Rattus norvegicus: one gene and its partners. The protein of the gene in region 1 interacts with the protein of each later gene in a pairwise test. Links are inferred from orthologs where the notes say so. Each region holds a gene or a part of one and is shown on either strand. Other genes may lie near its edges.

Region 1 (10,033 bases):
CCACTGAGCTAAATCCCCAGCCCTGAGAAAGCCTTTTTACAAGTTGGGGCCCAGTCTGCAAAGAAGAAAAGTTAACTAGGCAGAGAGACAGTGAAGAGGCTTCAGAGCAGGAAGGTTTTTTTTTTTTTTCTTTTTTTTCAGAGCCGGGAACTGAACCCAGGGCCTTGTGCTCGATAGGCAAGCGCTGTACCGCTGAGCTAAATCCCCAACCCCAGGAAGTATTTTATTAAGAGACTGTTTTAGGGCTTGAGAAACCTCATCAAGAAGTGCTGACTGCTTTTCCAGAGGTTTGAATTCAATTCCCAGCAACTACAGAGTGGCTCACAAACATCTGTAATGGGATCCTGTGCCCTCTTCTGGTGTGTATAAAGATAGCTACAGTGTCCCCATAGGAAAAAAAAAAGGTTGGAATTGGTATTCTGAGTTGTAACTTTAGGTTGGAGAATTTTATTTCTGTAGCAGATAACCAGGGAATGGGAGGCTACAAGAGTAAGTATGTGTTAATTTTTGCTGAATGGAGTGAGATCATTCTCCAAATTGGGTCAGGTTGACTTGGTTAAGAATGGCAGGAGATAAACTGATTTTCTTTTGTACTAGCTGTTTGTACATGCTGTTTAATTCATGGGCTTCAAATAATTTTGTTTTAAAGGGCAACAATAGTTTCACTGGAAGACTTTGAACAAAGGCTAAATCAGGCCATTGAACGAAATGCATTTTTAGAAAGTGAACTTGATGAAAAGGAATCTTTGTTGGTCTCAGTACAGAGGTTAAAGGATGAAGCAAGAGGTAAGTAAGCTTTATAACTTGGCAAGTATTTATCCATTGCCTGGTCCCTGAGTAAGTCAAGGACTAAGCCTTTTGATGGTGCTAGGATCACAGGGTCTTGAGCATGCTGGGTAAGCACTCTGCTTCCAAGCTGTTTCCAGCCTTCAGTTTCTCTGAAGTTCTAGTTTTATATGCCTTTAAATTTCTTTCAGTCACTGTGCCAAAGTGCGTTTAACCTGGCAATTTATTTCATACCCATATCATCAGCACTAAGAAGTAGCTGTGACCTCCATATTATAGATGAGAAAAAGGAGGCACAGAGTTTGAGCTTTTTCAGTGTCATACTGCACTCAGTTGGGATTTTTTTATTTATTGATTGTATTTAAATAACTTCATTTTATATACATATCATTTTATATATACATATATCAATCTGTTTACATATTATACGTGTAACTAGTACACACTTTGTTTAAAACTTCTTTCTCCTCAGAAACACAGTACAATTGAGAATATTATTTTATTTTATTTTTTTCCGGAGCTGGGGACCGAACCCAGGGCCTTGCGCTTGCTAGGCAAGTGCTCTACCACTGAGCTAAATCCCCAACCCCAATTGAGAATATTATAAAGAAGGAAAGCCCACTAGTAATTTGATATATTTAGTTCATTTTTTATGGTTGTATATGTCTGTATATTTTCCCTTATATAATTTCTGACTTCTTACATAATTTCCTCCTTCTTTCCAGATGAAAATAGACACATATATTTCTCTTTTTTTTTTTTCTGCTTAATATGGGGAATATACATGGCATCACAATTTTTTTTTATAAATTTATTTTGTATACAGCATTCTGCCTGTTTGTGTGCCTGCAGGCCAGAAGAGGGCACCAGACCTCATCATAGATGGTTGTGAGCCACCATGTGGTTGCTGGGAATTGAACTCAGAACCTCTGGAAGAGCAGTCAGTGCTCTTAACCTCTGAGTCACCTCTGTAACCTTGGCATCACAAATTTTTTAGAGCAGGTTTGGGTCTGGAGAGGTGATGGCTCAGCAGCAGGGAGCATTTACTGTCCCTTCTCTTGTTTCCGCTATAATACTCTGAGTCTCATTGTGCTGAGAAGAGAGGGAAGTTCTACAGAAGGTGTGTTCAACTATGTCATCTCTCTCTATAGATTTTCAGTGCCTTTTATTTTCTTTTTCATGAGGGCGCTGTAATCATCTGAACAGTTCTTTTTATTTATTTATTTTTTCTTTTTTTCTTTTTTTCTTTTTTTCGGAGCTGGGGACCGAACCCAGGGCCTTCCACTTGCTAGGCAAGCGCTCTACCACTGAGCTAAATCCCCAACCCCTGAACAGTTCTTTTTAAGTTATAGGTTTTAAAAGGTTTGTTTTATGTGTAAAGAGTGTTTTGGCTGCATGCTTGTGTACTGTTTGAATGCTTGGTGCTCTCAGGAGCTAGAAGAGGGCATCAGATCCCTGCAACTGGAGTTAGAGATAATTGTGAGCTAGCACATGGGTGCTGGGAACCAAACCCCTAGTCCTTTGGAAGAGCAGTGAGTGCTTTTTATGTGCTGAGCTACCTCTCTAGCCCCTGAAGAATTGTTTTAATTTTTGTAATATATAAGTTATTATCTTGGTATTGTTTATTTATAGGTCTTGTTTCACAGTAGTAGGAGTGAACACAGGGCCTTGTATATGACAGGCAAGCACCACACCTCTGGGCTCCATCCCCAGTCTTGTTTTTTGTTCGTCTCATCATTTGTTTTGAGGTGGTGGGACTTAGTGCCTGCTAGGCAAGTGCTCTATCCCTGAGTTTTTCCCCCAGCATCTTACTTATTTTAATTGCAGTAAAAACAAAACAAAACAAAACAACAACAACAACAGCAAAAGAACCCCAAAACAAAACAAAACATTACAAATTTAATCTCTTGTCTATCCTGTTTTTTGAGACTAGGTCTCAACTGTATAGCCCTGGCTGGCCTAGATCTCACTATGTAGATCATACTGGCCTCCAAATCAGAGATCTCCCTGCCTCTAACCTCTCAAGTGCTGGAATTAAAAATTAAAACTGTGCCACCATACCGAGATGGTTTTAAAATATTTATTATTGTTTATGTGACTGGTTGATTTAACTTTAGTGTCTTCAAGGTTTGTTTATGTTGTTGTGACTGGATTTTTTTTTTGTTTACAAAATTTTTTAAATGTGTGTGTGTGTGTGTGTGTGTGTGTGTGTGTGAGTGATGTCTGTGCCTGCCTGCATGAGTGTGGAGTTCAAAGTACAGCTTTTGAGAATTTGTTCATTCCCCCTTCTTACAGAAAATGGATTAAGAACTCCACTCCATCATTTCTTCTCCTCTGTGAATGGGCATTGGGCGGCTTGCGTCTTTAGTTCCTGTGAACAAGGCTGTTGTGGATATAGGTTGCATGTGTCAGTCTGTAATCCTGTTTTGACGTTTTTGATCTCAAAAGTAGAGTAACTTCGTATCCTTTGTTTTGTTTTTCCTTTTTCTTTTTTTCTTTTTTGTTTTTTCAAGACAGTTTTTCTGTGTAGCCCTGGCTGTCTTGGAACTTCTTCTGTAGCTCAGGCTGGCCCCAAACTCACAGAGGTCCGTTTGCATCTGTCTCCCAAGTGCTGGTCTTAATTAAAGACATGAACCACCGCTGCCTGGCCTGTTTTTCTTTTCCTGAAATAGAATCTTTTTGCATAGCCCTGGTTGTCCTGGGACTCTCTATGTAGACAAGGCTGGCTTTAAATTTCTCAGAGATCTGCTTCTTTTTATCCTTTTTCTTTTAACATAAGATATTTTTCAGGGTCATTATATAATTTAAAACATTAAAAATTCAGTATTGAAAAAGGATTTCATAGTGGTAGTTTAAAAAAAATCTGAGGTGTAGTAGTGCATGCCTTTAATCCAGGTACTCTGAAAGCAAAGACAATTGGATCTTTGTAAGTTTGAGGCCAGCCTCATCTACATAGAGAACTCCAGGCCTACCAGAACTACATAGTGAGACTTTGTTTAAACAAAATAATAATTAAAAAAAATATAAAACTTAAAATCTTCATTGGTTTTTCGTAGTAATCTGTGACATATGCAATACACACACACACACACATATATATATACATATATATCTCATATACATATATATATATATATATATACACATGAGAAGTTGTTTAGGAATATTTTGTGTTATTTAGTTTCACTATGAGTTCTACTTTGTGTCCTCTTTTTTTTTTTTTAAAGATTTATTTATTTATTGTATATGAGTACACTTTAGCTCTCTTCAGACACACCAGAAGAGGGCATTGGATCCCATTTACAGATGGTTGTGAGCTACCATGTGGTTGCTGGGATTTGAACTCAGGACCTCTAGAAGAGCAATCAGTGCTTTTAACCACTGAGCCATCTCTCCAGCCCTTTTTTTTTTTTTTTATTTAAAGACATTATTTTATGTGTGTATGTGCATGCCACTTATGTGCAGGTGTCTGCAGAGGCCAGAAGAGGGTGTTAGATCCCCTGAAGCTAGAGTTAGAGGCATCTGTCTGACATGGATTAGGAACTGAACTTGTCTAGCGGAAAAGCCGTCTCCAGCTCTCACTGCTCAATTTCTTTCTGCCTTTGGGCATAATATTGTTCTCTGAGAGGTTATAGCAGTTTAAAATTATTTTTTTAAAAATTATGTTTACTGTGTGTATGCGTGTGTGCGTGCCACTGTACAGATGTGGAAGTCAGAGGATATCTCGTAGGGTTTGTTTCTCAGTCTACCATGTCTGTCTTGGGGATGGAGCTCAGGCTGTCAGGCTTGGTAACAAATGCCTTAAGCTACTAAGCCATCTCACTATCCCACATTTTTAAATTCTAGGGAAGTTCACATTTTTTTCCAGAGATAAACATTTTTAGAATAGAAGCTTGTTTTGAGAAACTGTAACTTAGGAGGAATGTCTTACAGTGTTTTGGTTGGGACTTGAGCCAGGATATAGTTGCTCTCTCTAATGAGGATTCCTGCTTTTGTTTGCAACATTTTGCAGATTTAAGGCAAGAGCTAGCAGTTCGGGAACGGCAACAGGAAGTGACCCGAAAGTCTGCTCCCAGCTCTCCAACTCTGGACTGTGAGAAGATGGATTCTGCCGTCCAGGCTTCGCTCTCCTTGCCTGCAACGCCTGTGGGGAAAGGCACAGAAAACAGTTTTCCTTCACCAAAAGGTTTGTATTTTCTCTTTCAGCCATGTTAGATGATGGGTTTGAAATGCATTTGCTGATGTAGGGAAGCTGCTACAGTTAAATGATGAACAAGTTACTTTAGTATCCAGGAAACAAAGGTAGAATTGTTTTTCTAGGTCACTGTGAGATGAAGTCTGCACTCAACACAAGAGCAGCTTAAGTAAAATTCTTAAAGTTAAAAGTTACTTATTTGGGTTGGGGATTTAGCTCAGTGGTAGAGCGCTTGCCTAGGAAGCGCAAGGCCCTGGGTTCGGTCCCCAGCTCCGAAAAAGTTACTTATTTCTATGTTTTCCAAGACAGGGTCTCTCTCTGAGTAGTTCTGGCTCCTGGAACTCACTCTGTAGACCAGGCCGGCTTCTAACTCAAGAGATTCCGTGCCTCCACCTCCTGAGTGCTGGGGTTATGGAGTGCCACCATGCCCCGCAAGTTAAAAAGTTAAAAGTTTTAAAAGCTTATTTTGGTTATTGTGATATATGTTCGTGCAGATTTCTCTGTCTGTCTAATTTGTCTGTTTTGGGCCTGGGGATTGAACCCAGAGCTCTGTATGTGCTTGGCTAAGGCACTGACACTGAGCTATAATTTCAGTTCCATGTAGAGAATTTGAAAGTACAAGAAGATCAAGTTTTACAGAGGATTTTTCTTTGAGTTATTCCTTACACATTTCTTTGCTACCATAGATTGGTGTTTAGTTTTTTTTTTGTTTTTGTTTTTTTTTTTTTTTGGTTCTTTTTTTCGGAGCTGGGGACCGAACCCAGGGCCTTGCGCTTCCTAGGTAAGCGCTCTACCACTGAGCTAAATCCCCAGCCCCTGGTGTTTAGTTTTGAGGTGTAGTCTCATCAAGCCTAGGCTGTCCTGAAGATGACCTTTGAATTAATTCCTGATCTTTGCGCCTCTCCCTCCCATGTTCTGGGATTACAGGCATGTGCCATCACACCCAGTCTCTCATGTTAAGTTTTTTGATCCTACCTAAATAATTATTTCTCGCTTTTGCCATTTAGTATGTCATAGAAAAACAGGATACAGATATGAAGAGAATCTTTAAGTTACTATTTGGATTGCTATATGGTTGGCTCAGAACATTCTGTTGGATAGGTCTTGAACTACGCACTAAGGTAACATTCAGGGGAACTGGTAAGATTCACCTGTTGTCAGTCAGTGTTTGTTATGTGCACATAAGAGGTAAAGCAGTCTGTAACCAGTCTTAGAGCCTTGCAGTGCAATCCCAGAGCTTTCCAGTTCCAGCTTGTTTAGGTAGTCTGCAGTTCGTATCCCAGCTTCCTCCACTCGCCCTTTTTTCACCCTCAACAGACGCTGTCTCCTCTTGCCCTTCTTAAAATACATTTTATTCTCTAGAGTGAGAGGAGGTTCTCTGGGCAATTAGGACAGCATTTCCTGTATTTGTGCTGCTCAAGTAGCCACAAGTGACTGTTAAACTTTATATTAATTTAAATGAATGAAAGGGATTCAATTTCCTTTATCAGTCACATTTCATTATTGAGAATATTATCATGCTGATTACTGGCTTGGCACAGTATTTCTTTTATATGTGTGTGGTTTTTTAGATTTATTTGTTTCATATATGTGAGTACATTGTAGGTGTACTCATCTAGTCAGTGCTCTTAACCACTGAGCCATCTCTCCAGCCCCTGCACAGTATTTCTCTTCTCTTTGTCTTGCCTTGCTTTTCCTTTTTTTTTTTTTTCTCTTGAGATATGGTTTCACTTTGTAGTCCTGTCTACCCTGGTACTCTGTCTCTGTCTCCCCCCCCCCCCCCCCGCCCCCCCAACACACACAAGGCTGGCCTCAACCTCACAAAGATTCCCTGCCTATAACTGTACCCAGTTTGGCGTATTCTTTTATTTTTTTCAATTGCAAGTAATTTTTTTATACAACATTCTGATCCTGTTTTCCCTCCCTCATCCCTTCCCAGACCCTTCCTTCCTCTTCACCCTTCCAACACTATACCTTCTTATACCTTTTACTATTACCTTTCTTTGTCTTAGGAAAACAGGGAAGTTCAAACAAACAAGAGTAAAACAAAGCTGATGAACTAACAGGAAAAACAGAACATGAGAAACACATACATATGCAGACACACCCAGCCCATAAAACACAGAACTGAGAATGTAATGTACAGGCAGAAGATCAGAAAGGTAAAAAATGCTGAACCAAAACAGTAGGAGACCAAAAAAAGGTCTAAGAATACCTTTGAGTTGGTTGTGTTGGTCCTCTGCTACTGGGCATAGAGCCTGCCTGTGAGTATGGTCGACCCTGTCAGATGCCCTTGGAGAAACTAATTTGCCTCTGTGGATTGTTGTCAGTTAATTGGCAATGGCTCCTTGGTTAGGGATTCTCATGCACTTCCCATCTTAGCTGGCTTTCTGGCTGGCTTGGACTTGTGCAGGCACTGTGCGTGCTGCCACAGTCTCTGTGTGTTCATGTGTGGCACGATACTCATAAGGAAACATCCTTGTAGCATCTGTTAGGGTAACAGTGGACAGCCCTCTGCCCTCAGAGTTCTGTTCTCAGGGTCTCCAGCAATTCCTGTTGATGTTTCAGTATCTTTGTCCTGGCAGCAGTTTGGAGACGTGGCACACTGATGTAGTCTGATCATTAAGAGTCTTTTCTCTTTATACTTTGTACCTTGAAACAGTATGATATTGCTTCAAATGTGTTTGACTTTGTAACATCATCCAATATAACCCAAATATAAAGGGGGCTGCTGATGGCATTACTCTGCTTTTCTCTTTCTGTAGCTATACCAAATGGCTTTGGAACCAGTCCACTAACTCCTTCTGCTAGGATATCAGCACTAAACATCGTGGGAGATCTCTTGCGGAAAGTAGGGGTAAGCATTCAATTATTTATCACTAGGGTTTCCACTGTGGAGGTAGTATTGGGCTGTCTCTTTCTTGTGGTGAGAACCTTATGAAGCTGAGAAGCACCGCAGGCACTGATGAGCAAGGACTAGACCTGAGAAGACCCCAGCCCTGGGCAAAAGGCATTTCTGGAAGAGCCTGGGCTCTGAGGTTACCTATGTAACTCTTGACATTGCTCTCCTGTCTAGTTCTGTTCCTTGCCCCTGCCTCTTATCTTCCTGGGTTTTTTTTTTTTTTTTTGGAGCTGGGGACCGAACCCAGGGCCTTGCTAGGGCCTTGCTCTTGCTAGGCAAGCGCTCTACCACTGAGCTAAATCCCCAAACCCATGTTTTTTTTCTTTGTCTTGTATTTTGTGGGATAGTATGTGGCTGGGGGCATTGCCAGCCAGTCTTTATCTGGGGCTTTCTTGCTCTCAGGACACCTCAACTTCTGGGCCTCATTCTTGGCCCTAAGCTTGTTTTTAGCAACTTGACTTTTGAAATATGACACTGGTTGTTTCTTTATCAATTTTTAACATTTATGTATTTTTATAATTTTATAAAAATATGTATGAGTTGGATGTGTCTGTGCACTGTGTGTGTGTGTGTGTGTGTGTGTGAGTGTGTGTGTGCGTGTGTGCGTGCGCGTGTACGTGTACGTGTATGATGTCTGCTGAGGTCAGAGAGAGTGTTTAGATACCCTGGGACTGGAGTTAACAGATGGTTGTGAGGTGCTGTGTGGCTGTTGGGAATCAAACCCCAGTTGTCTGTAAGAGCAGCAAGTGCTCTAACCTGAGCCAGCTCTCCAATTCTGGCTTTTCTTTCTGTCTTTTTCCTTTTAAAATAAAGTTTTTAAAAATTACATGTGTGCATGCGTTGTGTGCGTGTATGTATGTGTGAGTGAGTGAGACGCATACTTGCAAGTTTATGCACACATGCAAACCCCTACTGGGCTACTAAATACTACATTGGCTTTTTGATTTAAGAATTTTTATTATTTAATTATGTGTATATGTGTGTCTGAATGTGTATATTATGAGAATGCATGTGTCCTGTGAGACCAGGGGAATCAGATCTCCTAAAACTGGACTTAACAGCCACCTGATTAAGGGTTCTGGGAACTGAACTCAGGTCCCCTGGGAGAGCAGTACACTCTCTTAACCACTGAGCCATCATCTAGCTCCAGGTCTTTGGTTTGTTTGTTAAAATATGAGTCCTAGGGATCAAACTCAGGTTGTCAGGCTTGTGAGGCAAGCACTTTGATCTGCTAAGGATTTTCCACTGCACCATCTTGCTGGTCCCTGTAACCTCTTGAATGTTAAGCTAATACTCTGCCACGGAGCTGTACCACTCGTAAGCCTGACCTCTTCCCTTTCTCCTTTCAACTCCATTTGTTCTTTTTGTTGAGTCACTATCTACTGTGAACATAGTTCACACTGGCCCAGGCTGGCCTAGAACTCATGCTGCTTCTGTCTCTGCCTGCTTAGTGCTTGGGATTATCTAGCATACCTAGTTATTCTTTTTTCTTTTTTAGAGACAGGGTCTCACTGTGTAGCTTTGATGGACATGGTATTTGCTAGGTAGACCAGCTGCCTTCTAACTCAGAGAAATCTGTCTGCTTCTGCCTCCAAAGTGCTGGGCCCCTTCATGCCTGGCTTTTTTAATTTTACAAAGCAAAACTAAAGGTCATTCTTGACATTACATCTCTCTTTCACCATCACCTTTGTGGGCCTTCGATGTATACATACTCTAGACATTCTGGCTTGCTCTCCATTCCTGATCAAGCCCCTAAGACTGTGTGGTAATGTCAGTGTGGTTAACAATGTGTGCACTGCTCTACTGAATTTTATTTGAAGCATTCAATGCCAGTGTGCCCCTACCCTCCTTAGAGTGTCCTCGTTTCTTGGTGTCCCTGATGCTGTCTCTTGTCTGTCCCCACCCAGCCGCCCATTTCTCTTGGTTTTTCTTTGTCCATTCTTTCAATGATGGTTTTACTGTTCACAGTCATGGTTCATTTCCAACTGATGTCAAATTTCTATTTCTTAATCTCTAGACCACTTTTTTCCTTTGAAAAGACCCTGGGCTTATACTGCCTGTGTGTATCACTGATGCCTGAAACAATTTTTTACCTGCCATGTGACATGTTCAACAGATATGCACATGGATGGACAAGGAAATTAAAGATT
Region 2 (10,033 bases), on another chromosome or scaffold:
GAATGCACTGACTTGATTATTTTTGCTTATAAAATGCGATGTCCTAAGATGTAAGCCAAGACTGTGTGAGGCGTCCTAAAGTCCCCTCGTTCCTTCTAGGCTGCTGGAAGCAGAGTATATCCAGTTCTGTGTGTGCTACGCGTGTTTTAGGTCTTCCATGATAAGCCAGGGCCATCACCACTGCGTAATTTATCAGTGGGTTGTGGATTTGTTGTTGAGGGGGACCAGTGCTGTGGAATAGATGCCAGTTTATAATAGGGCTTGGGAATTAGTGATGTCTGCCTTTTTATTTCATTTTCAACTGTGCCGTCCTTCTCTGGTTTGTTTTCTCCAGTTTTATAAACTGTGCCTCACATTTAGTTGGGTGGTTGAGGACAGAAGGTCTGGCTTGGTCCTCGGGTCTTCATGTCAGGGAAGAGGTTCCTCTGAAAAGGAGAGCTTTTCCTATTCTGACAAAAGGAACATTTGTGTTGCTGACTCAGCTGGGGAATATTCACTAAGGAGCACCTTTTATTTTATTTTTATAAAGGCTACGTTTCTCTATGTAGCACTGGGTGTCCTGCAATTTGCTCTGAAGTCTAGGCTGGTCTCAAACTGAAGAGATTTCCCCCTCCCCAGTGCTGGGATTAAAAGTGTGAACTACTGCTACCCAGTTCCACATTCTTTACTGTTGTAGAGCCTGTCCAGTAACCTCAGCCATTTCCCAAGTGTGGGTAGATGTGTGCCTTTCCCCATATCATTCCTAAATATAATTATGTAAAAGTAATGTGGTTTTTTTCTTATTAAATTCTGGAGAAAATATTAAAATATTCCTCATTTGGAAATGAGGAATCTGAGCTACAGAATGAAAAAATTATACCACTGCCCTGTGATTTTTATATTGTATTTCTATACAGTTTATGGTTTTCTTTTCAAACGAGAAAGTTAAGGGAATCTTGCTCATGTTTAGTAGAGAAAGCGTTTCCTTGTCCCTTTCTAAAGTTACATCATCACACACACGTTATGTGAGTGGGTTCAGAATCCTTAGTGTGATTTTGCTTAGTAAAAATGTTTTTATGCTAAACAGAACATAATGCAGTGAGTGGCACTAGATTACTTTAAGCGCCATTTAAGGGTCACATTACTCTCTAAAAGTCAGCCCGGAGTGGAATGGCCCAGCCTACCTGTCTTAGTGTGTTTGGAAAATGGTAACAGCTCTCGATGCATGCACTCAGTTAGAATGGAGACCAGAGACCAGGATGGCCCGTTTAGTGATGGGAAAGGAAGACCGGGCCTAAGAATGAGCCCGTTCATTTTCATCTCTTTTACAAGGGTTAAAAACTGTGTGAAGAACTAAGTTATGACATTAAAAAATGCTTGTATAATCTACATTCTACACAGATAAGTTGCTTTGGATTGATAGAACTGAAACGGATTTTTATTTTTAATTGAAAATCATTAAATTTTTCTTTTTATTGGACCTTAAGATTCAGATGCCCTCGATAGTGTTACTTGTAGTATTGTACTGATAGCCTGCACATTGAGACCTAGCAGTAGAGTTTTATTTAATTTTATTAACGCACTTTGCCTACATGTGCGTCATGTATGTGCACCGTAGGAAGCCAGAAGGAGGGCATCAGATCCCCAGGACTTTGAGCTACAGACAGTTGTGAGCCATCATGTGGGTTCTGGGTCTACAGCAGGGCCCTCTGCAGGAGCAGTGAGGCTGAGCCCCGTAGTCCACTCTTGGCCCTTTCTCCTGTCTGCTGTCTGCTTTAAAGCTCTCCTGATGTCGGGTTCCCTGTGCTCTATAAAGACAGCGCACAGTGGTCGATTGTTCTCTAGTGGTTTTAATTATTTACTGTGTTCAGCTATTTTATAATTTAGTGAGGAAGAATGATAGTGACTCTAGCAATCTTATTGATACCTCTGCCATAGGCCACTTGGTGCTAGGAAACGTGTACAGGCAATGGCTCTTAGAAGGACGTAGGGGCTGGGTGTGCAGCCACTTAGACCACTCCCTTCTTTTTAACTTGAGAATGAATGTTTTTGACAGATCCCCTGTGAGCAACTTGCAGATTCGATATGATCAGCCAAGCAGCAGTGGTTTGGAAAGCCTGCCTCCAGTGGCAGTGAGTATTGAGCAGCTCTTGGAGAGGCAATGGAGCGAAGGGCAGCAGTTTTTATTAGAGCAGGGCACTCCGAGTGACAGTAAGTAGCCACTGCTTGCGTCTAAGACGGGCACTTGGAAGCGGGCGGTGGTGGCGCACGCTCGGGAGGCAGAGGGAGGCGGGTCTCTGGGGTCTCGGTCGGGCTGATCTACAAATCACGTTCCAGGGTAGCTGGATCTGCACAGAGAAACTTCCCCGAAAAATACAAACCAATAAATGAAACACAGCAGCAGAAAGTGTTTGCCCAGAATAATGACACTGTGTTACGTATTATATGTAGTTAGAGAAGGTGTGTGTCACGCTTGGTCAAAGCTATCGCTGCAGGGTGTGTGTGTGTGTGTGTGTGTGTGTGTGTGTGTGTAGTGTGCAGTGTCTTGTGAACTCAAGAAGAGTGAAACTGTACCTTTTTCCTAGGGTTGGTATGAAGATAAATGACATGAACACTGACAAAACTTGCTGTGTTATTTGGTTGCTGGTTGAAATAAATGGCTGCGGCTGTCCCTCTGCCCACTAGACTTTGTTCTTGACCACTTGTGAGAACACTTGGTCTCTCCCCTCAGCTCTGGATTTAAACAAAGATTCCTATGCACAGATATCTTCTTTTAAAAAGAAAATGTCTCTAGTCAGCTGTAGCTAGGTATCAGGTTTTAGAATTTGAAGGAATAATAACTAGGCAGACATAGTGACACCCATTTTTGATTAATAATGCCACTTACCAGGTAGAAAGCAGGTGGCACACATCTTTAATCCCAGCGCTTGGAAGGCAGAGGCAGACTGATCTCTTGTGAGTTTGAGGCTAGCCTGGGTCTACGTAATGAATTCCAGAAGAGCCAGGGCTACTTTTTAGACCCTGTTCTTGCAAAAGGAATAGTAATTAGTAAATTTTTATTTAATTAGAATGTTAATCATACTTATGAGATTATATGGTATGTTTTGTATATATACATAGTATTACTACCAACGGGGTGGGGTGGGGTGTGGTAACATGATGCCATAAAAACACAGTTGGAGCAGCTTAGGGAGAAGAGTTAGGTGGCTTTTATCATTTTGGTATGGAAAATTTCAGTGCTTTATTTTTTTTGTTGTTGTTGTTTTTTTGTTTTTGTTTTTTAAAAACTAGGCTTTAAAAAATATGCTAGTGAGCTAATAAGTGCCTTGAATTGATCCTTTATGTATGGTGCCCCAAAACTGTTGACTGTAAGGAAACTGATGTGGGCAGAACCTTTTAAACAGAGCAAAGATGTGGGCAGAGGGCAGGCTAGCTGTATTATCGTTTCTCATCTGGGCACCTTAAGGGGATAAAACTTAAATCTTGTAATGCTAGAGGGTCCTTGAAAGGCCCTGAGCTCATGTTAAGCAAATACGACTTTTTCATACCTGGAGTTTTTCAGATGTCCATCACCATTACAACAGTGCTCTTGATTGGCAGTTAAAGTCCAAGCCTTGGAAGAATTAACACAGTATCTAAATGGTCAGGCAGGGCCCAAAGCTTGTTAACAGATGAGGAGGCCTCGTCCTCCAGAGAGAAGTTAAGGGCTGCAGAGACAGCGCTCCCTGCTGGGAGCCTGCAGAGAGACATGGTGAGCAGCTGGCACTGGCCGGCTTTCTGCCAGGTGTGTGGCAGCATTGGCGGCTGTGGCTGCGACTGCTTGGGCTCCTGAGGAGTCTGCCCAGGCCCTGTGCATGCCAGCTGCATGCTCGCTCCCCACAGACTGCCTCTCCCAGCGCCTGCATGTTTAAACACCTAAGAAAGCACGTCCTTATTTGAGTAAAGCATATTGGTGGTAATTTTCCTATTGTAAGTCTCAGCTATTGTCATCATTATTTTTTTAATAAAAATTATGAAAAGTACCTTGAAATTTTAATTTTTATTTTGAGGAAACCTCTTTTTTGAGGATAGAAACTACGTGATGGGGGTGGGTTGCTGTTTGTCAGACACACATGCTTACACAGGTATATGCAGCAAAGCTTCCGTGTGGTGGATCTGTGTACAGTCTTCCTTGTGTACACACTCAATAGAACATGATGTTTGTAGCTACAGTCAGACCTTGGAACAAGGCTCAGTCATGCCAGGATTAGCCCACACGATTTCCACATGTTTAGGTCTGAAGCAGTTCACACTATGACCATAAAGTACTTAGTCGTGGGAGTGGAGTTGTCTTTACTTTAAAATCACACAAATATTTGCCAGTTTTAGGAATGTTAAAGTCATTACATCAACTTCAAGTTGAAAATCGAAGATTAGAAGAACAGATTAAAAACTTGACTGCCAAAAAAGAACGTCTTCAGTTGTTGAACGCACAGCTTTCAGTGCCTTTCCCAGCAATAACGACAAACCCTAGTCCATCTCATCAGATACACACATACACAGCACAGACTGGTGAGTACAAGAATACTTTGTTTCTAAGGACCATGGATGGACTCTTACTGTCATGTACACAGAGAACAGTACCTGGCCACCATTTCCGTGAAGAAGCAGCTACTTCTAAGGGGCAGAGACAGCCTAACAAGTCCCTTGAGTTTTCTTTTACTTCAATGGATAGTTTAATGATAAAATCCTTTAGATGCAAGATTTCATTACTGAAATAAAGCTACAACATTCAGTACAAAGACACCACCTTCTCCCCCACCCCCATTTAAGTAAGTGTTAGGAGTAACAGAGCTGTGGGCTTCAGCATCCTCTTAATCCCACACATGATGCAACTAACAGGGTCCCTGTTTCTATCTTTTCCTGTTTCTAGCTCCTACTACTGACTCTCTGAACAGCAGTAAGAGCCCGCATATAGGAAACAGCTTTGTACCCGACAATTCTCTTCCTGTATTAAATCAGGTGAATTTTTTGCGTGTGGTTATGTTCATTTGTGTGTTGTACTTGGGAACATTGCACATTACATCTAGTGATTTAAAATTATGTTTAAACACTCTTGCTGTGTTCTTTTCAACTTGGGTTTTATTCTCTTTCCCGTAGGACCTGACTTCCAGTGGGCAAAGCACCAGCAGCTCTTCTGCTCTTTCCACTCCCCCGCCTGCTGGGCAGAGTCCAGCCCAGCAGGGCTCTGGAGTTAGTGGGGTTCAGCAGGTGAACGGCGTGACAGTGGGGCCACTAGCTAGTGGAATGCAGACTGTCACATCCACCATTCCTGCTGTGTCTGCAGTGGGTGGAATAATTGGAGCTTTGCCAGGTAACCAGCTGGCAATCAATGGCATTGTAGGAGCGTTAAATGGTGTTATTCAGACGCCGGTCACAATATCCCAGAACCCTGCCCCGCTCACCCACACCAGTGTGCCACCTAATGCAGCACATCCCATGCCAGCCGCCGCCCTGACTAACAGGTAAGACACTGAGCTCGGTATGCTGTTGTCATTGCCGCCTCCTCCTCCTCCTCCTCCTTCTTGTTTTTGTTTTTCATGCAACATGTTATCAGTGTTGTCCTTATTTTGGGTTAGGCTTCTTAAATGTATTTTGCAGATGTTCTCTAGGAAAAATTAAGTGCTAGCTACTTAATGAATGTTAGGCTTGTTTTTTAAAATGATGTAATTCAATTAAAGATTAATTTCAGTATCATATTAAATATATTGTGTTGAATTGAATATATTGTCCTGATCTGGAATATATATCTTAAAATGTTGCTTCTCCTTATTACATAAAATTATACTAAATTTTAAAAAGTTGGTTTTTTTTTTTTTTTTTTTTGTGGCAGTCACATGTACATTTTAACAGCAGTTTTGATACTTCTCTAACATAGATTTCGATGACATGATGGACTGATGAATTCTTATGTTTGTTTAACCTAACTTGTTGACTGAGTTTCTGTCGCTGACAGTCAAGTCTGCGTATATAAGGAGAGGGAATGATTTGAACATAATGAAGTACTGTAGTTCAGGCAGTTTGCTAGTTCCTGGTGAGGAGGCTGCCGTCGTGCTGCCCTCCCTGAGGGGGCACAGGAGACATCACGGCTGTGCTGGTTTTTCAGTGCCTCGGGCCTGGGGCTGCTGTCGGACCAGCAGCGACAGATGTTCCTCCAGCAGCAGCAGTTCCAGCAGCTCTTGAACTCCCAGCAGCTCACGCCGGTAAGTGGACTGTGTTCTTTTTGTCAGTGTCTGCTGTTGTGACTGGAATGGGCTCCTCCTCTGTGGATGTGGATCTTAGAAGTTGTCGAGCCCTTTGGCCTACCTGTGCCCTCCTGTTTGCGGGTTGATTGTTTTACAAATGTTAACTAGGCTCTGGGGATTGGAGTGCGAGCCGTTCATTCTGAGAGGAGAGGTAGAGAGCGCACACACTTGCATCATGGTACCTTCCAAGGATGGGGGCAGGCATTATATGGTCTAAGGGACGACAGATGTTAGGTGAGGGTGAGGGCCATTTCACTTCTTTCTTTGGTGGTATTGGGAGTAGAACCAGGACCTCACATGTGACTTTCTTAAAGAACCCATTGAAGAATGTTGCACAGACGTGACATGAAAATGCCTGAGGCGTAGAGACATTGGTTCCTGTGTGGAATCATTTTGTGTCAGGAGGGAGAAGGTGGGTTCAGCGATGGACACGGGAGTCACTAATGCAGAGCCGGCCCTGGTACGATACTGTACAGCTGTAGTGCATTTTGATCAAAGCAAGAAAAGGAACCCTAAACAGTTGGCTACTGACTTTACGGAGATACGGAGGAATAGACGGCAGAGTTTCCTGAGAAGTAGTAACCCATTATCACATACAGTGAGCCCACCTGCCAACTCTTTACTGTAAATCAGAACGATTAAACACGTCATCTGCACGGATCTTGTATATTCTATTTGCTACAGTTTCCTAAACTACACTGTGTAATGTATATTCTATCCTTTGTATTCTAACAATAATTTTCGACTGTGGGAGGATACCCAGGTGAAAGACGGACAGACGCTGCCTGTTTTGGAGATGATGTGGCATTGGTGTGGCTTCGGCTGCTTGAGCTCACCGCCCTCCAACCTCCGCCTCCTCACAGTGCATTTCAGACATGTGTCAGCAAAAACAGCTGTAGCTCTGGTCTCTAACAAATGACAGATAGTCCGACAGTACAGTTTGACAAATGACAGAGTCTGACAGTACAGTTTGATCTTAATCACGGGTAGGTTATGGGCTGCTTCAGTTTGCCCACAGCAGCTGACTGTGATTTGCTCCGTGCTTGATCAGGGGCATGATTTCGTGAGGTGCAGATAGTTTGTGTAGTGCTGTGACATTCGGAGTTCTGGGAACTCCTCGGAGGGTACATACATGGGGCAGGTCATTGGTTGGTTGCTATTGGTCACTGTTAAGTTGGTGGTGAGGCTCCAACTTGCCATAAGGAACCCGGCTGGCGCCCCCAGTCAGCAGGAAGTAGTCCAAGGGTCACGCCACCCATTTCCCTCTATCCTTTTTCTCTCCTGGTTAGAGGGGTGGAGAAGAGTGGAAGAAATAACCCACAAAGTAGCAAAAGTCCTGCTACAGTAGCAAACCCCCCCACCCCCCAAGCAGTCCTCACATGTGGGAAGTAAAGGCCAGAGATCAGGAGGTGCAGGCCGGACTGATTGTATAGACGTCTCCAAAGCCAGACACTCAGCTCTTACTTGCCCACCGCTGAAGGCAATATAGACTTCTGAGTTCGTGGGCTACACCTTCCTGACCCAGCAGTCACATCTGACAGCTGATCTTTCTTCACTCAACTTTGATGATGTCACAGCCCCTACAGCTGTGCTTGATCTCCGTAAGCTGTCTTCAGAGCTGCATGCCATGGGCCCACCTGCTTATTGTGTAGCCCCACGGCACACCCTGAGGGCATTGGGCATTGTAAACTCAGCCTAGACTGGGCTACCACGCTTCTTCCTTACCCCAGCCAGCCTTTCCCAGCTCCAACCTAAGTCAGACCTGTACAGTCCTTTTTGTTTTTCTTTCTTTTCTTTTTTGGAAATACTACTGTGACTTCATGAAGAAACCTCATTTAACTGGTGGCACACACCTTTAATCCCTGAATGCTGGTTCAGGAGACCGAGGCAGGCCCTCTATACCTGAGTGTCAGGTCATACAAGGATATAATACTGAGATGATAATCTGTCCCTTTCCCCAGCCAACTCTTAAATCCCCCCCCCCCCCCCCTCTCAAAAGCATTCCTGACCTCACATCCTTTCTGACTGCCAGTCTGGCGGGGCTCTCAGGAGTCTAGGGTGTCCTGTACAATGTCTCACTGAGGCTCAAGAACTGCCCTCCTGCTTCCTCAGTGTACGGGGTGATGCTAATCCCCTGCAGGCTTTGTTCACTCCTGATTTGGGACAGCAGCTCTGACTACGACACTCATGGACTGCAGTGGTCAGCACCCTGGGACTCCTGAATGGAATTGATGCTGAGGAAGGAAGAGCTAAACTGTGGGAAGAAAATACCTTCTGTTAGGAGTTGTTGGCAACTTTAGAAACCGTGGAAAAGGGTTGGGGATTTGGCTCAGTGGTAGAGCGCTTGCCGAGCAAGCACAAGGCCCTGGGTTCAGACCCCAGCTCCGGGGGGAAAAAAGGAAAAAAAAAAAAAAAAAGAAAGAAAGAAACCGTGGAAAAGAATTATGCCAGGGCTTGGTCCCTGTGAGGACCTCTAGAGTAGCTTTTTATAATGTGACTTACCCTGTTTCAGTTTGTTTCTTTGTTGCTGTGACAAAACACTGACCAAAGCACCTGGGCAAATGTTAATTTTGGCTTCTAGGCTACTCCACCATCTAGGGACAGAACAGCAGGAACCTTGGCGGGAACTGAAGCAGAACCATTGGTGACCTGCCTTGCTCCTAGGGCTGGTGCTGTCCACTGTGGCCCACACTCTCCTGCGTCACTCATGAGTTGAGACAGAGCCCAGCAAGCTCGCCCATAGGCCAGTCTGACTGAGGCGTTTTCTCAACTGAGGCCTCCCTCAGATGGCCTGTTTGTGTGGTAACAGGGCCAAGCAGCACAGCACCCACCTGCTGCTGTTCCTGTTCTCTGTTCCTCACGGGCAGCCTCATCTGAGTGCACTTCTCCTGTGTTTGCCCACTTGTCTTGGAAATGGGCAGTTCAGCCGGGTGGCAGCAGTGGCTCACACCTTTAATCCCAGCAGAGTCAGAGGCAGAGGCAGAGGCAGGCTGGTCTCAGAGTTCCAGGACAGCCTGGGCTACACAGAGAAAACCCTGTCCTGAAAAACAAAAATCAACTCATCGGTCAATCAAAAAATGGTCAGTTCCCAAGTGGTGCTGGGTTATTACCCAGTGCAGTTGCTTTCCCGAGAGGCTGGTGTTTGTTTTGTTTGCTTTTAAACAGACTTCAGAGAGTCGTGGCCGGCATGACACTATGCAGACCGAGCTGTTCTGGGAATTCAGAGAGATAAACCTGCCTCTGCCTGCCAGATGCTGGCACTGAAGGCCTGAGCCGCCACACTCGGCTCCTGTTGTAATGCGACTGGTTCAAATAACACTGTAGAGGAGAGATGGGGGAGGCAGGCTTGCTGACTCCCTGGCTGAGGCTGCTCTTGTGTCTCATTGCTGAAGGAGCAGCACCAGGCCTTCCTGTACCAGCTGATGCAGCAGCAGCACCATCCCCCCGAGCTTCAGCAGATGCAGCTCCCAGGGCCCACGCAGATCCCCATCAACAACCTCCTGGCAGGCCCTCCGGCGCCCCCACTCCACACGGCGACCACCAACCCCTTCCTCACCATCCACGGGGACAGCACAAGCCAGAAAGTCACAGTAAGTATGTTGTTGTATGTTGTATGTATGTATGTATGTATGTATGTATGTATGTATGTATGTATGTATGACCTTGGAGGCAGGGTTCCCAGGGAGCCAGGGCGGGTGTTCCTATGAGTTTTCCTCGTGAGGATCAGTTGTTTTAGCAGCTGGATATATTGCAAGGAGAGTGTCCCTTAA
Region 3 (10,133 bases), on another chromosome or scaffold:
AGGTTTTGACTTTATTATCCTTCTCTCTCAGCCTTCCAAGTAGCTAATATTATAGGGCTGTACCATGAGGCCTTGTTCAAGTTCAACTTAGCTACTCCTCTAGGTCACCTTAGAATCTAATGTATATTGCTGCTTTCCAAGCCTCTGTGGAAAACAGGATGGCATTTCTTCAATCGAAATTATCCTGTGATCCAGCAGAAGACAGTCGTGAGAGGTTGCTTCCACTCTAGTATCTATGGTAGTATTTTCATGATAATCCCAAGCAGGTATGCACCGATGGGTGGACAGGTGAACAAAAAATGCCTTACACATATGGGTGAATTTTACTCAGCCTTAAAAAATGAATTTGTGGGGCTCACACCACAACATGGATGAGCCTTGGGGATACAGTGATAAGGTGGTAACAAAAAGAGAAACACTATATAGTTCTATTTACGGAGTTACTGGTGTGGCTAAATTAATAATACGTTGCCAGGGTGGGAAGGAATGGAGAATTATTTAATGGGCATACAGTTTTAGTTTTTTGCAAGATGAAAACAGGTCTGAAGACAGATGGTAGTTAATAGTGCATGTATTTAACACCACTGAGATATACAATAAAAAATAGCACAGAAAGTAAAACAGCTTGTCACATATCAAGTTCATGGTCATGTTGACTGAGTTTCTCTTCTCCAGGGAGAAACAACAGGAGTGTGAACCCACCCTGAGAGCTTTTTCCATTTAGAAATCAGACTCTTCTGTGCCTTTGTGAAGGGTTACATGAATCAGGGACAGGAGATTTAGAGGAATAATGTGGGTGGCTTCTAGAATGAGGCAGTCACTTTAAAACAACAGGGCATGACACCGTTGGGAAATAATGGAGAAAATTGAAAACAAGGCTTTTATAATCAATGTTATTAATTTTTGTATGTTGGTAACATCCATCTTCAAAAACAATCATAGTGTAGGCAAAATAAAATGTACCTGTTGCCTGCTATGATACCCCTCATCATCTTTCTGGACCATAGCCAGTCAATCTTAAAGGACACACATACACACACACACACACACACACACACACACACACACACACACACACACACACTCCTCTGCTCCCTTTTATCATCTTCCTGGCTGAGAAACAGGGTTTCTACAACATCAATGAAAACCCTGATCTTGAATACAGGGCCCTTTAAAGCTGGACATGCTTATTAATATTGTAGGGGTCTAGACGTCATCCATGTGTCCCTTAGGCAGAGATCTTGACCAAGAAAGATAGACTTCTGTGTCTGCGGGGTAGGGTCTAGACATCATCCATGTGCCCCTAAGGCAAAGATCTTGACCAAGGAACACAGTCTTCTGTGTCTATGGGGTAGGGTCTAGATGCCATCCATGTGTCTCTAAGGCAAAGATCTTGACCGAGAAAGACAGTCTTCTGTGTCCATGGGGCTAAAAGTTCCTATCATGTTGCTTTAAAGGGAAAACTTCTGGAGATTTCAGTAAATCAACCCCAGTGACTTCTCATCTTGTTCATGACCTAACCCCATACATCTGAGACAGTACTTGGCATGCAGCGGGGGTTCAGTACACACTGGGGGAGAAGGATTATTTCTTTAGACCCTTTAATGTTGTATTTAGGATCGCCCCCAGAACCAATTCTTCCTGGAGTCTTACTGACTGTTTCCCAGTGCTGTTTGCCTTGGAACCATAAAAATCTCTCTGCAAAGCTCTCTCTTTGGAGGAGGGCTTTCTTTCATAGCATGAGTGAGTACGTGAGTTCAGACCTTAGCGTCAGAAGCAAAGAGGAACTAGGTTACAAGCGGAACCAATGCAGCTAACTAACCAACCCTAAAATACAGATCATTATGTATCATTCAACCGAGTCCAACACAGCCCAGGGGTCTTTAAAAGGAAAGACAGAGAACACAGTTGTGTCTCTCCTTTCACCACAGAATTTCTGGGGTGAAGCTCAGGCCTGAGGACAAGTGAGGTTACCTACAGAGTGGACCTAACCATTATTGTTCATTTCAGTTTTTAACGAGTAGTTCCAAGTGGCAATCCTGCAAGATAACTGGGTTTTCTACCTCTGTGCTCTGACACAACTCTGTACACTGAGAAAATAAACCCACAAAGGGGATTGGTCGACGTATGCGCATTCCTATCATAGCAATTCGTACCATCTGCCTCTGCCTTTTCATCGTCAGTCTTCCTCCTCAGGTCATGGGCTGGGGTCACACTCTGGCTTTCTCAGCTGTTCTTTACTGATCAAAGGTTGGCACACTCGTGATATGTTTTTCACATGACACGTGATACTTAGACCTTTAGACCTTTGTATCTTGACAACCCTTCAGGCGTTGATGGAGAGTTTTCCCCACCAGGTCCCGTTGGCTGTTGGGAGAGGTATTCTACTCATGTGGTTCTCCAGGTTTGATCCTGAGAGCAGTATTTCAGTTCTCTGGGAATTTGTCTGAAATGTAAATTCCTGTGCCCCACCCTAGGCCTACCGAATTCAGAAATTCTAGGGCCAGCAATCTGTGTTATACTGAACCCTCCTCCTAGATTCTGAGCCATACTAAACATTGGGAGTCAAATATTTAGCTTGGTCTGCTTTCGTACCCTTAGCCTCCAGCATGCACAGCTCTTCCAGTGTCAGACTTTTAAAATATAACCTAATCATTTTCTATACAAAATTCTAAAATGGTGTCTAAATATATATTTTTAGGTTTGCCTATTCAGCATACCAACAAATGGCGAACATCGTTTATGTTTCCTTTGCAACTCAGCTTTCATGAACATCTAACAATCTTGTGATAGAGCCTCTGGCCAATTTCAAGTCCATAACTACAACTGCCCCTTTGTCTAACTTCCACAAACCAAGCCAGTATTCTCTCTGATCTAAATAACCCACCGTCATTTATCAAACAACTCGAGAGGTATCCATGCTTTAGAATCCTCTGACATTACCTACGCTAGCCATTCTCAAGACATCCCTGCGTCTTTACCTTCCTATTCCACATACATTCCAATAATAGCTTTGGTCTGGATTTTTCCCTTTACTCCCAGACACACCCAGTGCCACTCCATATGCCCCTACATGACATGGCATCCCATCTTTCAGGAAATGTAAGCCATGAAAATAATCTTTCAGAACACTGACTTCACCATGTCATCTCAGTCGTCCTGTAAATTAAAACCCTGGGGGCATACATTGAAAGAAGTGCCTAATAGAAATAGAAGCACGGTGACAACCAAGGAAGTGAGAAAATTGGGACAAAGACAAAAACGGGAACACAGAAAATGAGATGAAGCCTGTAAAAATTCATATGTAGCAAGCATTCTGTGAGGATCCTACCTTTGTGGAAGAAAGGGAAGTGATGACCTACCACGTCAAACAGCCAAAGAAAATACATGCTTACCTCAAATATTCCGGGAGTCACAAGACAACAGCCAAGTGGTTCAGAAAAGCAAAGCTCATCTTGGTTTGGGGAACTGAAAGATCATCCTCCCCCCTCCCAGAGTCTTTATAAAGCGGATTGGACCTGTTGCATCTTGCGTAGCTCCCAAGGACAATCTGTGAAGAGCCCCTTTTTCCCCATCTCTCAACTGATCTTTGATTGTAGCATAAAGTTCAAAGCATAGCATAAATTCATGAGTGTTGTGCTGGAGCCTGTATTTCAGAGGTCTGAGGCTTTGCTCTCCTAATGATTTACTTAATCTACAAAGAAATGTACTACATGTAACCCTAGTCTTTTCCAACATTTTATCACCCACAAAATTAAGTCTCCCTATCATTATTCTATTGGCCAATTAAAGAGACAAGTAATAATGGAACGTATAAAAAAGAGAGCTATTCAATATGGCCACATAGGGAATTGGAGGAAGAAAAGGGGTCCAGTTACCACCAAGTCCGCCTTCAGGAGTACTGACAAGAAGTTTAAGTTTAAATAGAGAGCTAGAAATAGTGGTAAATTGAATACTCCGCTAGGTTACGGTGCGGTATTGCTGACCTAGCGTTGTTTCAGCTCACTCAAGGCTATCTCGCGAAGTGATCTGAGACCTCAGAGCTGCAATTCCTGAGAGGCAAGCTCCTTCTCCGGACGGCGCTAGGCCTTCGGTATTGTTTTCATTTCTCCAGGATGAATTATCTATTTTCTTAAATTATTTGGAGTATAATGTTCCAACAGTCTGATGGACTAAGGGAGGGGCACAAGTGTCTCCTCCCCTATCACAGCGTAATTATGTTAGTGGTCTGGAGGAGAGGTGGTGCCTTTCCAAGTTCTCTTTCAATGTTATTAATTTCATTTGAGCTGTTGGGGCTAGTGAGGGGAACAGGCAGTCTAGGGTCAGATAAATAATCACTTTCAACGCTTATAATAGATAGCCAGATACTGCAGGCTTGCACGGTAACTCTCAATGACTTGGAGAGATGATTTATGGAATGGGATTGAGATCCACACCCTCATAAGATAGCTCCTTTTCTCAGCTCTCAGCGTTTTATCGCAATCTCTGCTCAGATTCAGTATGCCTGGCTGAGGCATAGCCACAGACAGGCCAAAACAAAGTCATGGTTGCTTCAGATCACTCCTAGTAGTCTGGAGCAGGAGCTGACAGGTTTGGTCGTGGTCAAGCAGCACATTTGAATCCAGAGGGCCATTTTGAGTTGGTCGGCCAAGAGACTGGAGTGAAAGGTTCATACCAGAAAAGACCTGAGTCAGGGGGCAAAGATGCAAGGTCAGTGGATCAGGGCGGAGCCTGGGAACGGCTGGCGCGAGGGTGGGGCGGGCCCGGAGGCGGGCCTAGCCCAGTGAGACTCGCGCCTGCGCAAGGACTGTCCGGGAGGCGGGGCGACGCACGCGTAGTGCGCGGGCCCTGGAGGGCGGAGTCCAGGAGGTGCCGGCCAAGGGAGGGGGCGCGGCGACGGTGAAGTCCGGCGCTCCCGCAGGCCGTGGAGGCGATGCTGGCTGCTGCGGAGCAGGCAGCTGGGCGGACGGGGATGTGACGGGACTGTCCTTCGCCTCTCTCCTACCCTCGGGCCGGCAGGTCGCTGGGCGACCCGCAGCCGGGCCGCGGCCGAGGAGGCAGCGCGACCTCCGCACGGTGAGAGTCGGGGGTCAGGGCCGGGGTCTCGGGACGCTGGAGGCTACCTGGCTCCCGGGCGCAGCGCGGGCGGAACGAGGGCCGGGTGTCCTTGGGCGTCGGTGCTCTGGGACGACCCTCGGAGCCCCCGCCCCCTCTCCCGAGCCTCCTGCGGTGCAGCGGGCAGGCCGGATGCCCCTGCTCGGTGGTGCTGAGACGGGAAGGGACCGCGGGACACCCGGGCTGCAGCCTTCCTGCACCGGGAAATCAGGGCGAGGCTTAGATGCCCTGGGATTTCAAAGCCTAGATGCTCGCGTTGGTAAGGGGAAGTACCTGAGAGCCCTGAATGAGTGGGATTTTTTTTTTTTTTGAAATCACTGAGTCAAAACAAAGACACGCCCTAAAACACATGAGAACTTTGGATTACACCGTATCTGTAGGTTCAGATGCTTTTTCCCCCTCCTCTCCCTCTTTTGACATCTATTTTTATACAGTTTTAAAATGTACCTACTTTCTTGACAAAGTAAAGGGAGGGGGTAATCCATTTGGGGTGGTCGTTGGTGATAAAGCCTGATTTTGAATTTCAATAATTGCAAATTCATCTTTGCTGACTACCTAGCCAATTAGGTTTGCTGATCATAAAGTAGGCCTTAGCAATGGAAATTCCTAGTGCACAGATTCTTTGCTGTCCAAGATTGGAGTGTCCTATTTCGCTTAAGGAGAAACCAGGTGTGGAGGCTTCACGCCTTTATCCTGGCATCCAGGAAGCAGAGGCAGGTGGATTTCTGTGAGCTCCAGGCTAGCCTAGCCCATAGAGCAAACTCCAGAATAGCAAAAACTACTTAGACCTTGTCTCAAAAGAAAACCCAGAGGGTTGGGGAGGGCGGTTATGAATGAGAATGAACATTTCCTTTTTTTCCCAGAGTAGCTGTTTGATAAAGCATTTTGTTTTTTTATCGAGAACATTAAGTATTAATGGAATATATGTATTTAGACAGTTGATCAGCGTATCATCATTTAGATTTAAAAAACTTTAAACAAATTGAATGAGGAGGATAAGTATAAAGTAGGTATTATAATGTATAATCTATAATTGGTAAGGATGTAAACATTAATAAGTGGTTTGCATGGGTGAAGTCAGTCTTCTTTCCAGACTTTATTAATGTTTGTCTCTCTTAATTTGTTAGAGCGCATCGCCCTTCTCTTATATGGTGGTTTTCTTCCTTGTTCTCAACAACACTGGCCTCAATCTCTAGGTTAAAAACACTTAGAACCCTTAACCTGTAATTTGTCCTGTTTAATATGCCATAACAAGAAAGCTAGGAGCTGTCCTGGGACCAGGAACTTTTTTTATTTACCTTCCCTCAGGTAGATTTTTTTTTTTTGCTGGTTGCCAGATTGCTTTTACTATGTGGGGGAAGAAGAGACTTTTAATTTCATGGTTCCAATTCCATTCCTTCAGTCTTTCCCAGTTTCTGGTGTCTGTCTGCATTCTCAATTCATCTACTGTTACACAGGTCCTCTCTCTGGGACTGTTTGCAGTTTACTGAAGATGGCATCTTCCTTTGTTTCCTGGCTCCAGAATGGCCTTCCTAGTAAACACCTTGCATTCCCACTAGAGTGATAGAGCTTGACGTCTGGGCATCTCATCTCTTGTTTTCACTGATCCAGTAGCACCATGCCAGGCTGCACTGAGTACTTCATCAATTGGGAGTTAATGATTTGCTTATATATTGTCTCCCTCAGGCTTTCGAGTGTCTTTTTAAGTTTACTGCTACAGCACATACTGCTCAAATCTGTTTACTCAGTGCATTCTGAGGAGAGGGTCCAGGCTCGAATGCAGATTTAGGGTGAGCTAAATATGTTTGGACTGTCTTTCAGTACCAGAAAGTTGAGGGGAAAAAAAAATCAGTATTTTAAAAAAAATGATTTTTAGAAAAATTTTACGTATTTGGTGTTTTGCCCGCTTTTCTGTCTGCGTGTGGGTGCCAGAGCTCCGGGAACTGGAGTTACAGACGGTTGGAAGATGACATATGGCTGCTGGGAATTGAACTGGGGTACTTTGAAAGAGCCGCCAATGCTATTAACTGCGGAGCCATCTCTCCAGCCCCAACATTACTGCTTGTATTTGCTTAAGGATGAAGTAAAAACGGGTACTGGTTAGGAATGACATCCTCGTTATGATGGGGAAAAAGTCAGTCTACTTGAAGATGGAGGAATGAAGACCATGGCAAGTAAGGGTCGGTCTAGAACTTTATTTTGAGGTGCAGGGGTTTGCCCACAGTTATGGCTAGAAAGGGACAGATCTGGGAACATAGATGTCCTTTGGCCATCCTTCTAGTTCACTCTTACTCCCCTCTATCCTAATTCTAATTACATTTTTTAACCCAGGCTAGCCCAGAACTCACTGGGTTGTTCAGCTTAGGCTGAGCTCAGATCTCTGCAGCCCCTCCTCATCCCCCAGGCTTCGCAGTGTTAGGTTTACAGAAATGAGGCATCAGTGCCTGGCTTCTAATTTCTAATAAAGGGATCACCGTCTTGGTGCGATATGAGAGAAATGGATATTTATTATAAAAGGGCTGTATTGGATATTAGGTTGGAAAGACTTAGCAGATTATTTGGTTCACTGATGAAATAACTTTGAACAACTAAAGCATGGACAAGCAAGCAGCTTGCCTCTGTCTCCACGAACCTCTGTGTCACAGCTTCTGACCTCGTGTTTGCTTGCTCCTCACTGTTCTGGACCGCAGTCCTTGTGCTTTCCTCCTCCCTAGCTGCCACTCCTAGGGACGGACCGAAAGCCCTTGAGTGGCTGGGAAACATGATACCTCGTTTGGGAAAATGGGAGAAACCTTTACCACTCCGCTGGCCTGGAGCTTGCTTATACTTTGGTGTTGCAAGCCTCTGGTTACCATATGGAGACCCTGCACCGTTCCTTCTGTAAAGTGAGATTTTGGTATAACTGGGTTACAGATGGTTAATAGCATGTCTAGAATTACACGTATGGTTTGCCTGTTGTGAGAAGAGCTGCTCTGATTACTCCTGTGATAGCGTTTTAAGGACAAAAGTTGATAACTGTAGATTTATGTATCTAGCACATCAGTTTTCAACTATGGGCTTAGCACAGTAGGCCCCACTAGTTCCAAAAGACATTTTGTTATACAAGAAATAAAACCAAAATAAACTATTCCTTGTTCCTTGTCAATTTAAAATAATTTTATACCACCGATTGGTGCGTAAATGTAACCTTTAATCTGGGTTTTAATATTTGATGGGTTTTCTTTTCACTAGTTTTTATACCATTGGGTTACTTATACTGTCTTACAGAAAATAGTACTTATTTCTAGGTGGACACGGGAGTTGCTTTTGAGTAGTGCAGTTAGTATATTTAGGGGTCTCGGATGGCCTTACTAAAATGCCACTCCCTGTCCTGTCAGGATTCTGCAGTTCGCATATGACCACGTAGTCATCTTTTTTTCCCTGAAGGCTAACGGCCGTTGGGAGGAATGACAGCATCAGAGAGTAAAAGCTTTATCAGTTTCAAAAGCTGTTGCTGGATGTACTGTAGGAAGAGCTGCTCTTCTTCCAGCAGAAGTTTGGTCATTACTTTTACTGCCTTTTGTTCCCAGTGCTTTCTGTCTCCCGGAAAAGGCACTTGCAGGGTTTATCACAGTTTTATTCTCTCCTCCCTGTGAATGGGTTGTCGTTTACCCAAAGCCCCTGAAATATTTTTACTAACTTTATTAGCATTAGCACTTCAGGTATTATCTTTGTTACTTTTTATATTTATGGATTGAGACAGAGTTTCCTGAAACCTTGTCTGACTGTGAATCCTGTTCCTTCCTACTGGACCTTCTATGAATCACAGGCCTGACTTACTTTTTAGTACCAAACACTTGGTAGCTTTTTAAAATTTTACTAGAATACTTGACTTTTAAATCCTTGGTAAATTTGTCTTTTAATTGTGAGGTCTGAGTATGATGGCACCCCACCGTTGGAGCATCCACCCTCTTTAGCTTCTAGAGCCATCGTCCAGCAGGGGTTGCAGGCGTGAGCCATGTTTCTGGTTGGTGCTTGCTTTTGAAAGATAAATCCTATTACTTTGAATATCTAGCAGGGTGGTTCTCAGGCTTTTCAGTCTTAGGACCCCCATTGCACTTTTAAATATTCTTGAATACCTTGACAGGCTTTTGCTGATATGATTTATAATTTTTGATATTTATCAAGGTATACATTTACTTTTGAATGCTTAAAGTAACACTAAATTGATAATGCATTAAAATTGTGGTACATTTTAGACAAACCAAAGAGTTCCTGAATGTAGTGTATTTGTTCAAGTTGTTGTTTGTTCAGGGTTGACCAGAAGGTCATTTCTGATTTAACTTGAATTGTTAACCTTTTAAAAAGCTATGAAACAAAGCCTTGTTATCTGCTCTCTTTTTGGGAAGTGATGTATTCTAGACAGATAAGATAGCCAAGAACAATAGTTATCAGATATGCTACATTGATATTTGACATGCCTTTGTTTCTAATTGCTACCACCTAGAAAGTAGGCTTTTTGTAGTCATTTTATGGATGAGATGTAAAGGGATCTGCTGAAGTAGGTGTCTGTAGCAAGCCATGGTATAGATAGTCTGCCTTCACTTTAAAGGCATATTATCTTATTGCCGTGCTAAAGATTGGACGATTTCTATGCATTTGAAAGATATGTATTTAGAACCAAGCCAACAGTTTGTGATAGTTGAGAGTTTTCTTCTGTTTACCTTTTTGTGTAGTTTAGTAGCTTAGTTTGAATATGGTTGGAGGGTCATCTTTGAAGATTGTTGGTTTTAAGAATACTGTATGGTATCTCTTGGGGAGATGGCTGATGTAACAATGTAGAAATATATTAAACTGTGTTTCTCATAGGAGGTAATAGAAATAGATCATATGAAATTAAGTCTGGACTCTGAGTTGGAAATGGGGATTGAACATAGCTCTTGAAAGATAAAAGACTGAGTAACCCTTTGTAAGAGGATGAGAATGTGGACTGGCAATTTGGAAAGAACTGAGATTGAAGAATATATATATATATTTTC

Evidence for each region.
Region 2: the proteins of Ndel1 (region 1) and Mllt10 interact in a two-hybrid assay, tested with the Homo sapiens proteins (2 studies listed by BioGRID and IntAct). The link is inferred for Rattus norvegicus from reciprocal best matches to the Homo sapiens genes NDEL1 and MLLT10.
Region 3: the proteins of Ndel1 (region 1) and Ccser2 interact in binary tests that used the Homo sapiens proteins (3 or more experiments, as listed by UniProt). The link is inferred for Rattus norvegicus from reciprocal best matches to the Homo sapiens genes NDEL1 and CCSER2.

The regions. Positions count from the first base shown.
Region 1 is NC_086028.1:54,038,446-54,048,478, reverse strand, and holds part of Ndel1 (nuclear distribution protein nudE-like 1), read left to right. Parts: intron 1-649; coding exon 650-786; intron 787-4,798; coding exon 4,799-4,972; intron 4,973-7,746; coding exon 7,747-7,838; intron 7,839-10,033. UniProt on the Homo sapiens protein: Required for organization of the cellular microtubule array and microtubule anchoring at the centrosome. May regulate microtubule organization at least in part by targeting the microtubule severing protein KATNA1 to the centrosome.
Region 2 is NC_086035.1:85,844,395-85,854,427, forward strand, and holds part of Mllt10 (protein AF-10), read left to right. Parts: intron 1-2,035; coding exon 2,036-2,190; intron 2,191-2,564; coding exon of another isoform or gene 2,565-2,575; exon of another isoform or gene 2,576-2,656; intron 2,657-4,341; coding exon 4,342-4,530; intron 4,531-4,891; coding exon 4,892-4,980; intron 4,981-5,118; coding exon 5,119-5,483; intron 5,484-6,124; coding exon 6,125-6,221; intron 6,222-9,655; coding exon 9,656-9,853; intron 9,854-10,033. UniProt on the Homo sapiens protein: Probably involved in transcriptional regulation. In vitro or as fusion protein with KMT2A/MLL1 has transactivation activity. Binds to cruciform DNA.
Region 3 is NC_086034.1:12,740,731-12,750,863, reverse strand, and holds the start of Ccser2 (protein FAM190B), read left to right. Parts: upstream 1-4,860; 5' UTR 4,861-5,076; intron 5,077-10,133. UniProt on the Homo sapiens protein: Microtubule-binding protein which might play a role in microtubule bundling.